Linked DNA regions of Oryctolagus cuniculus. The protein of the gene in region 2 interacts with the protein of the main gene of each other region in a biochemical or structural test. Links are inferred from orthologs where the notes say so. Each region holds a gene or a part of one and is shown on either strand. Other genes may lie near its edges.

The links.
Region 1: the proteins of GSN (region 2) and ACTA1 are reported together in a solved structure, tested with the Homo sapiens proteins (3 studies listed by BioGRID and IntAct). The link is inferred for Oryctolagus cuniculus from reciprocal best matches to the Homo sapiens genes GSN and ACTA1.

Annotation. Positions count from the first base shown.
Region 1 is NC_091444.1:90,180,752-90,185,044, forward strand, and holds the start of ACTA1 (actin, alpha skeletal muscle), read right to left. Parts: upstream 2,904-4,293; 5' UTR 2,594-2,903; exon of another isoform or gene 2,576-2,593; intron 1,814-2,575; 5' UTR 1,802-1,813; coding exon 1,673-1,801; intron 1,581-1,672; coding exon 1,256-1,580; intron 1,026-1,255; coding exon 864-1,025; intron 759-863; coding exon 567-758; intron 448-566; coding exon 266-447; intron 172-265; coding exon 28-171; 3' UTR 1-27. UniProt on the Homo sapiens protein: Actins are highly conserved proteins that are involved in various types of cell motility and are ubiquitously expressed in all eukaryotic cells.
Region 2 is NC_091432.1:225,292,347-225,296,917, reverse strand, and holds the start of GSN (gelsolin), read right to left. Parts: upstream 3,000-4,571; 5' UTR 2,959-2,999; coding exon 2,830-2,958; intron 2,780-2,829; exon of another isoform or gene 2,733-2,779; coding exon of another isoform or gene 2,709-2,732; intron 1,406-2,708; coding exon 1,201-1,405; intron 419-1,200; coding exon 264-418; intron 1-263. UniProt on the Homo sapiens protein: Calcium-regulated, actin-modulating protein that binds to the plus (or barbed) ends of actin monomers or filaments, preventing monomer exchange (end-blocking or capping).

The DNA.
Region 1 (4,293 bases), on a different chromosome or scaffold from region 2:
CTGTCGGCCTGGGGACAGCTCGCGCGTCTAGAAGCATTTGCGGTGCACGATGGAGGGCCCGGCCTCGTCGTACTCCTGCTTGGTGATCCACATCTGCTGGAAGGTGGACAGCGAGGCCAGGATGGAGCCGCCGATCCACACGGAGTACTTGCGCTCGGGGGGAGCGATGATCTGCAAGACAGCGGGCGTCAGTAAGGTGGAGGCCCCCAGCGGACCCCCAACCCCCCGGAGCCCGCCCGCCCCGCGAGCCCAGGCTCCGGCCCACCTTGATCTTCATGGTGCTGGGGGCCAGAGCCGTGATTTCCTTCTGCATACGGTCAGCGATCCCGGGGTACATGGTGGTGCCCCCCGACATGACGTTGTTGGCGTACAGGTCCTTTCTGATGTCGATGTCGCACTTCATGATGCTGTTGTAGGTGGTCTCATGGATGCCGGCCGACTCCATACCTGCGGGGCGCGGAGGGGGACAGCAGTGAGCGGGCTCAGCGCGCACTAGAGCGCCACGGGGCCTGGCGCGGGCCCAGGAGAGCCGGGGCGGGCCCCGGGGACGGGCGGCCGGCGCTCACCGATGAAGGAGGGCTGGAAGAGCGTCTCGGGGCATCGGAAGCGCTCGTTGCCGATGGTGATCACCTGGCCGTCGGGCAGCTCGTAGCTCTTCTCCAGGGAGGAGGAGGAGGCGGCCGTGGCCATCTCGTTCTCGAAGTCCAGGGCCACGTAGCACAGCTTCTCCTTGATGTCGCGCACGATCTCGCGCTCGGCTGCGAGGGGCAGGGGCAGGAGGAGAGGAATGAGTTCTCAGCGCGGGGACCCCGGGGCTGGCGCCCGCTGCCTCGCCGACCCTGGGTGCCCCGGGAGCCGCGCACCTGTGGTCACGAAAGAGTAGCCACGCTCAGTGAGGATCTTCATCAGGTAGTCCGTGAGGTCGCGGCCAGCCAGGTCCAGGCGCATGATGGCGTGCGGCAGCGCGTAGCCCTCATAGATGGGCACGTTGTGGGTGACACCGTCTCCCGAGTCCAGCACGATGCCTGCGCCGGGTTGGGGCGGCTGCGTGAGCGGCCGGCCGCTCCCCGCAGCCGCTGTCCCGAGTCCTCGCGGGGCCCGGGGAAGCTCGAGGCTGGGGGCGAGCACTGCTCCCACCCCCCATCCCTCTCCCAGAGCTCTGGATGCGGACGGACGTGGGGCCCAGGCGGGGCGTCGGGGACTGGGGAGAGGACTCATCCGCGCCTGGGCTGTGCGTAACCGGTCTGGCACTCACCGGTGGTACGGCCGGAGGCGTACAGGGACAGCACGGCCTGGATGGCCACGTACATGGCCGGCACGTTGAAGGTCTCGAACATGATCTGGGTCATCTTCTCGCGGTTGGCCTTGGGGTTCAGGGGGGCCTCGGTGAGCAGAGTGGGGTGCTCCTCGGGGGCCACGCGCAGCTCGTTGTAGAAGGTGTGGTGCCAGATCTTCTCCATGTCGTCCCAGTTGGTGATAATGCCGTGCTCGATGGGATACTTCAGGGTCAGGATACCTCTCTTGCTCTGAGCCTCGTCGCCCACGTACGAATCTTTCTGACCCATACCCACCATGACGCCCTGCGCGGTGGGAGACACAGCAAACCCGTTACCGCAGTTCCGGCGGGCACCGGGATCCCAGCCCAGCTCCCTCCACCGAGCGGCGGGCTGACCTGGTGGCGGGGGCGGCCCACGATGGACGGGAACACGGCCCTAGGGGCGTCATCGCCGGCGAAGCCAGCTTTTACCAGGCCAGAGCCATTGTCGCACACGAGGGCGGTGGTCTCGTCTTCGTCGCACATGGTGTCTGGTTTCTGCCATCAAAGAGTTGGCGGAGAAGCAGGAGCGTCAGCCGAGGGGCCTCGGCAGCGGCGTACCCCGGACGCCCTCCCTCCAGAGCGCCCTAAAGTCATTCCGGGTCTCTAGGGTTCTGCCTCCCGCCAGGGCGGCGGCCAGAGGGCCCGGTCCAACAGTCGCTCCTGGGCTCAATGCTATAGCGCACAGAGGAGAGGGGCCTAGGGTCGCGAGACCAAACTGAGAAGTCCTGCGCTCTGGTACCCAGGGGCACAGGGTTCCCTGAGGCTTTGCGGGCCACCAGCTCCAAGAGCGAGGCCCTAGTGCCCACCCACTGTGCGCCTCCGGGGCCTCATTTGTTAGGGAGGGGGCACTGAGCTGTCTGCCCATTGGCTGCCCAGGTGCCCCATCCAAGATGGGGAACCCTTGCACCTGTTGCCAGCCCAGAGAGCAGTGGCCCTTGCTGCCTTTCTTCTCCAGTGATTCTCTCTTCAGAGAACCAAAGCATGGTTAACCTCTGTGAAGTCAATCTCCCTAGTTAACGCCCGCTCCCTAGGCGCATCCACAGTGCCAGGTACACCAGCCCGAAGGGGCTAGAAATAAATGCAGCTAAGTTTCCAGAGGTCCGCTGGCATGCTTGATTCCTTTTTAAAGCTCTGTGCCTCTGGGGACCGAACCAAGTGCATGGGGCACAGGTGAGCCGGCTGCATGATCCCCGAGTCCTTTAGGTGGCGCTCAGTGGTACCCTGTCCCCTCGTCCCGCTCTCCCACTCCCGCCCTACCTGGGCGGGTGGCTACACCTGCTGCGCTCCGGCTCAGGCCCTGGTCTCCGCGGGAGGGAAGCGAGGCTTCACTCGGCGCTGTCCGCTGCAGTGACCGAGTGTCTCCCTGCCCAGGTTTTATATAGCCCGGGGGCACTCCCTCCGCGCCGCCCCGCAGGAATGTCGCTGCCCTTCTCGAACCATATTTGGGTGTTGGGCACTACAGCCGCCTCCCTAGGCGGGTTAGTGCCCTATGCCCCCGCCCGGGGTGTCCTGTGCTGACCATAGAAGGAAAGGGCTGGCCTGAGCCCAGGTAACGCGGGCCGAGCCGTATATGGAGTGTCTCCCCAGCACGGCTGCCCCTCCCTGCTGGGTTCAGTTGTCAGCCAGAGGGGTAGGGTGGGGCAAGGGTCACCGCGTGCGCCCGTGGGTGCATTGTGTCAGCCTGTGCTCGGAGAGCTGCACCTGTCCCAACGGATTCCCCATCCTTGTCCATTCTGCACACACGGGCTGGTGCCTAACCGCTGGCTTCCCATACTAGCATTTCACCCCGCTGGGGGAGTTCTTTACTCAGACTCAAACTTCAACGTGCAGTTACTGGGAGACAGAGCAGGGTGTAGTGGTGGGCTTGGGAGGCCTGGAAACACCACTCCCACACCCCAGGCAAGGAACAAGGCAAGCCCAGCGCTGCCAGCCATTTCCATTTCCGTTTCCCCCTCCCCATCCCGGAGCTCCCCTGTGTCCGGAGGGCTGACCCAAGCCGGTCCCTTCCCCCATCACGAATAGAGTGACTGGCGGCTGGAGGGCGCGCAGCTGTCGCAGGGTAGACAACTGGCAGCGGGAGGCTGGGGTAGGAGGGGTGGGGAGGAGGTGCGGGGGCTCCCAGGGACAGGCTAGGCAGTGGCTTTGGCACCATCAGGAGCGAAGCCAGGGCACCCTGAGCTGTGGGCCTGGCTGCGGCACAGTCAGCTCTCCAGCTCCTGAAGAGAGTGAGGGTGCGATGGCTCCCTTTCTCCAGGACTGGCAGACCCTGCTTGGGATAGGCTGAGCTGAACACCCTCTTCCCACCTCCTCTCCCAATTCTGGGTGGCACTCACAACGTGAGTCCCTCTCCTGGGGCTGAAAGACAAGGGTCACAGGCTGGACTGGCTAGATCTGGAGGTGATGGAGGTGGCGATGGGTGAGGGGCTGGACTTTCCTCCCAGTAGAGAGGACGAGGACATTGCACTTGGGATGAGTGCTAGTTTTTCCTTATGCGAAAGCGGAACAAACTCATCTTTATATTTAGCGGATGATGCTGGCCAAGGCCAGGCTGCCTCCCAGTCCACCTTGGAGAGTCACCACCTAGCAGAGCCTGCAGCAGGTTCTATTTATATCACTGATATACGGGGATATGCCTTTCAGATTTTCTAGAAGAATCTGGATCTACTTATGGTAAGGTGGGACGGGAGGGGCGGGTCAATGGAGCTGATCTGGTTGGTGCCTGTCTCAGGTTGGGAGAAGAGGGGAGCTGACGAAAGGAAGGGGACAAGAACAGTTCTGTGGTAGGAAGTACAACTATAAACAATCATCCATGATGCATTCTGTGACATGCTTTAAGGGGCACATTACCAATGCGGTACAGACCCAAGTGGAATTACTCATTTTCTTGATGTGCTTAAGTATTCCCCAAATAGTTGTAATTCTCACTTGGTAATGAACTTGGCAACTGGGACAGTTGTGGCTCCTCCAAAAAGGGA
Region 2 (4,571 bases):
AGGGGTATCAGGAGACGAGGTGGGGTAGGAGGACCACCTGAGGGAGCCACAGGGAGTTTTCTGCTCCTGACTCTAATGTGAGGAGCCACGAGCTCAGAGAAGTGTGATGTGTCCAAGGTCACACAGCTCGGAAAGGCCCAGGATTCAAACCCCAAAGCTGACCTCTGACCTCTGCAATCACCCCACATGGCTGAAAGACAGGTGCACCTGAGTGAGCCCTGCTGTCAGCGCACCCATCCCCAGCAAAGTAGGGGCCCACGCACCTTGTACTTGAGGCCGGACTTGAAGTAGCCAAGGAAGGTGGCCGACTCGAAGCCCTGGGTCTCACGGTGCTGCACAGCCCGGCCGTTCAGGTAGTCATCCAGCTGCACGGTGAAGATGGCGGCCGCCCCACTCTCGTCCTGGCTGCACTCGTTGCCTAGGCGACGCAGGGCAGCATGAGCCAGGCTTCCTGAAAGGGGTCCCGGCACCCCCCATCCCACCCAGGGAGGAAGCTCCAGCACTGCCCTGGGCTAGCTGGGAAAGCCCAGCAAGCCCCTGCCTCTTGTGAGCCTCGGTTAACCCCTCCATATAATGGGTACAGGGGAGGGAGGAAGTGTACCTGGACCCCATTTTTCTCTAAGGGTCATCCTAGCTCTGATACATTGCTCTGCACTCCTGTTCAGCTCTCCTGAGCACGAACTCAAGTATGGATTAGGAAACTGAGGCTCGGCCAGGTGACAGGGCTCAAAGCACCCCACAGCAGAGCCCCTGACTCTGAAGGACAAACTTGGGGGTGACGGGAGCCACGGAGGGGTCTGCTTGATGATAATCAGGGGCGAGCTTTTGGCACAGCAATTAAGATGCCAGTTGGGAGGCCCACACGCCATAGCAGAGTGCTGAGTTCAAGTCCTGGCTCTGCTTCTGGCTCTAGCTTCCTGCTACCGTGCACCCTGGGAGGCAGCAGTGATGCCTCGGGTACTCGGGGGCCTATCAACCATGTGGGAGACCCGGATGGAGTTCCGTGCTCCTGGCTGCAGCCTGGCCCAGTCCCAGCCGTTGTGGACATCTGGAGAATGAACCAACTGATAGACAAGCTCTTTGTCTGTCTCTGGGTGTCTCTCTCTGCCTTCCACATTAAGTAAAAAGCAGCAAGCTCCAGACCACAGCCAGCTGCCCTGCCAGGGGCTGGGCAGGGGCTGGATGGGTGGGCAGCCTCACCCAGCCAGTAGTGGAGGTCGTACTGCAGGTTCCCATTGCGTAGCTGCACCGTCTTCAGGATGACGTAGGCATCGCCCATGAAGAAGTCTCCATAGAGGTTGGGCGGCACAGGCACCAGGTCGAACTTCTCCACGCGCCAGATCTGCAGGCCAGGCTGCTTCCCTGCCTTGAGGAACTCGGGGTGTTCCACCACCATGCTGCTGGGCTGGAGAGAGACAGGCAGTGCCTGAGCAGGGGCCCGCGGCTCGGCTCGGCAGGGACAGACCCCGGGCGCGAGGGAGGCTGGTTCCAGCACCAAGAGCGTCCGACTTGAGCCACTGCTCTTTCCACACCCGAGGGGAGTCTGCCTCCTAGGAGCCTCTGTCCTGGTGAGCTAGCGAACAGGGCCAGTGGTTCGGCTCCAGACCCTGTGCCTTGCAAGCTCCTGGCCCTCCCACTCAGCTCCCGGGGGACAGGACAGAGGGATCTACCTCCCTCTCCCTCCCCTTGGTACTGTCACTGGCCATGTTAACTGAGGTGCAGGCAGGAGCAGGGACTGTGACAGGGACCCCAAGCCAGGTGACAGCAGAGCAAGGACTTCTCCACGCTCCGGGCTGTTGGGTAGCCCCCCGCCCCAAATGGCAATGGTAAACCCAAGGGTCCCCAGGGGCTTAGCTTGCTCCCTTCCAGCACCCTCCACGGCTCTTAAGATTAAAGGGCTCTCAGAGTGCTCCTTATCCACCCCTACTGTGCAAATAGGCACACAGAGGCCCAAAGAGGGGAGGGGACAGCTCAACGTCTGCAGCCTGTGTGCCTCTGTCCCACGTGGGACAATTTCCTGTGCCCCCTCCATCCCCTTCACACCCCCCAGGAAGGGTCTGAACGGCTGAGCCCAAGTGGCCTCCTGCGCTGTCTGCCTCCTCCCTCCTGCCCCCCAACACCCCACCCCCAAATTCCATTTTTTGACATCCCCCCGGGGGTCTGCAGGAGCCTGCTGAAGGCGAGGTACCCAAGGAAGGGCAGAGGCTGTGAGACATGCAGGGTGGGGAGGGGGGGCTAGAGACGGCGGCCGGCGGGGTTAGGCAGGAGCTGGGGGTGGCAGTCAGCAGGCATGGGTCACCTCGGCCGGGGAGATCTGGGGGCAACAAAACGTGAGAAGTGAGAGGAATGAGACAGAGAGAGGCACTCAGGCAGGGGGTGGAACAGCACTGGGAGAGGAGAAACTCAACAGAGCAAGGGAGACTGCAGGGAGGTGAGAACCTGTGATGGTCCAAAGGACACATAAGACAGAGGGAGATGCCGGGGAGGGCGGGAGCCATCAGAGGAGGGGGAGATGGAAGAAGACAGGCAGTGGGAAGGAGACCTTAGGCAAGGAAAGGAGAAATCAGGTGGCAGAGATGGGTAAGAAATCAGAAGGTGGGAGGGAGGAGAATTCCGGCCAAGGTGAGGTTAGCCTTCGCGTAGGGACGCAGCCAGGGCCCCCAGGCTCCCGCCCTCCGCCGAGCCCTGGAGCAGCAAGAGATACTTACAAAGCAACAAAACAGTTTTTCCATTCTAGACCTGAATTACTCCCCTTTTCCTAGCGCTGTATCTGCAAGAACTTACAATAGAGAGTTACTCCGGGAGCCCCGGGCCCCCCGGGGCACTCACCCGCGCCTGGGGCGTCCGTGCCGGAGCCACCCTCTGCGATGCGGTGGCCGCGAGGGCCGGCGGCGACAGGGCGCACAGCGCCAGGACCAGCGCGCCGAGCAGCGCGCGCGCGGAGCGGTGCGGAGCCATGGCGGCGGCGACAGCAGAGGACCCGCAGCCCCGGCCCTGGGATCGCAGCCCTTAAGTAGCCGCCCGCCCATCCCGCCCAAGCCCGGACCGCCCCGCAGGGAGGGCGCGGGGCAGGGCTGGGCCCCCAGCGGGCCCCCGGGGCGGGGATCTGTCAGGGATCTTGGAGACATCTGGGTTCCCACTGAATCCGACCCGACTGGGCGCGGCCGCCCCTGCACCCCAGCTGCGGGGCGGAAACTTAGCACAGAGCTTGGCATACAGCAGATGCTAACTAAGTGCATGCTAAATGGGCACACCAAGGAATTGTGGGGAGCACAGCTCAGTCTTTTTCTCCCGAGTGACCTCAGCAAGCCCTCTTCCTGCTCTGCTCCTGGTATTTCCAGCAGAAAGCTGACATCGAAGGAACACATAGCAAACCGACACACCAGGACATCCTTTACAGAGTGTGTGCTGCTGACAGCCCATTTCATAGAGGGGCAGACTGAGAGTGCAGTGGGTAAGCAACTTGCTTACAAGCAGTGCTGTCACAATGTGACTGGGTCTGGGGCTGGGTAGAACCAGTCCCGGGCAGCCTGCCAGGGCCACCAGCTGGGGCAGCCGTGCCAGGAGAGGCAGGCAGGGCTCAGAGAGGGGCGGGCCAGACTCTGAAGCCCTGGGATTGCTGGTTCTACTTTACTCAAGGTGGCCTTTCTTTCCTGCTTTTCAAAAACATTTTTGTTTTTTTAAATAAACGTTGAAACATTTTTGTTTTTTTCTTCTGAGCAAAACATAAGGTCCCAACTTTGTACAACGCTGCCCCTCCCCAGGGGCACCGGCCTCCCCATCTGCCTCCTAAGCAGGCAGGGCTCGCCTTCTCGTGTCCAGATAACAGGCCCTCATGCTTCTAGAAGGGTTTTATCCATTTTAGGCACCCTCTACGGAGCCCTCCTGGGGAAGCCAGGATTGTGTCTCTTCTCCCCTTCCCCTCACCGCTAGAGGCATGGTCACTGGGTTAGGACACACATACACACCACTGGAGGCATGGTCACTGGGTTAGGACACACACACACACACACACACACACACACACTCATACTAGAGGCACACTGGCTTAGGAGAAGCACCCTTCCGGCTCCCCTTGGTGTATTTCCCAGTTCCCCCCATCCCACTCCCCACCCCTCGGCCAGACCCACCTGCTCCCAATCTAAGTGTTCTTTGCATTCCAAATAGTCCCCTCCCTCCTGCAACCTGGTGCGGTGACAGGAAACAGAAAGAGACGGTTGGAGACCTGGGATGGGTACCCACCTCCGCTGTACCTAAGTTTCTTTCTTTCTGCAGGTCTCGTCTACTAAATGCGCATAAATGGGGACCAAGGATTAAATCGGCCTGGATGGCCTGGCTGCGAGGCTGGTGGGAGCTCCTCTCCCTGCACCGCACACACAGCCCGGTCACCCACCCCGGCTCCTCCTGGAGCCCAGCTTCCTACTAATCAGGCTGGAGTTGGCCTCCTCCCACCACAGCTGCCTCCCACCAACACGCAGGGTAGGAAAACGCTAAGGGAACACACAGCGAGAAGACAATCCGGGCTGCGGGGATTTTAAGAGAGCTGAGTGGAGAAAGCGACCCGTGACCTG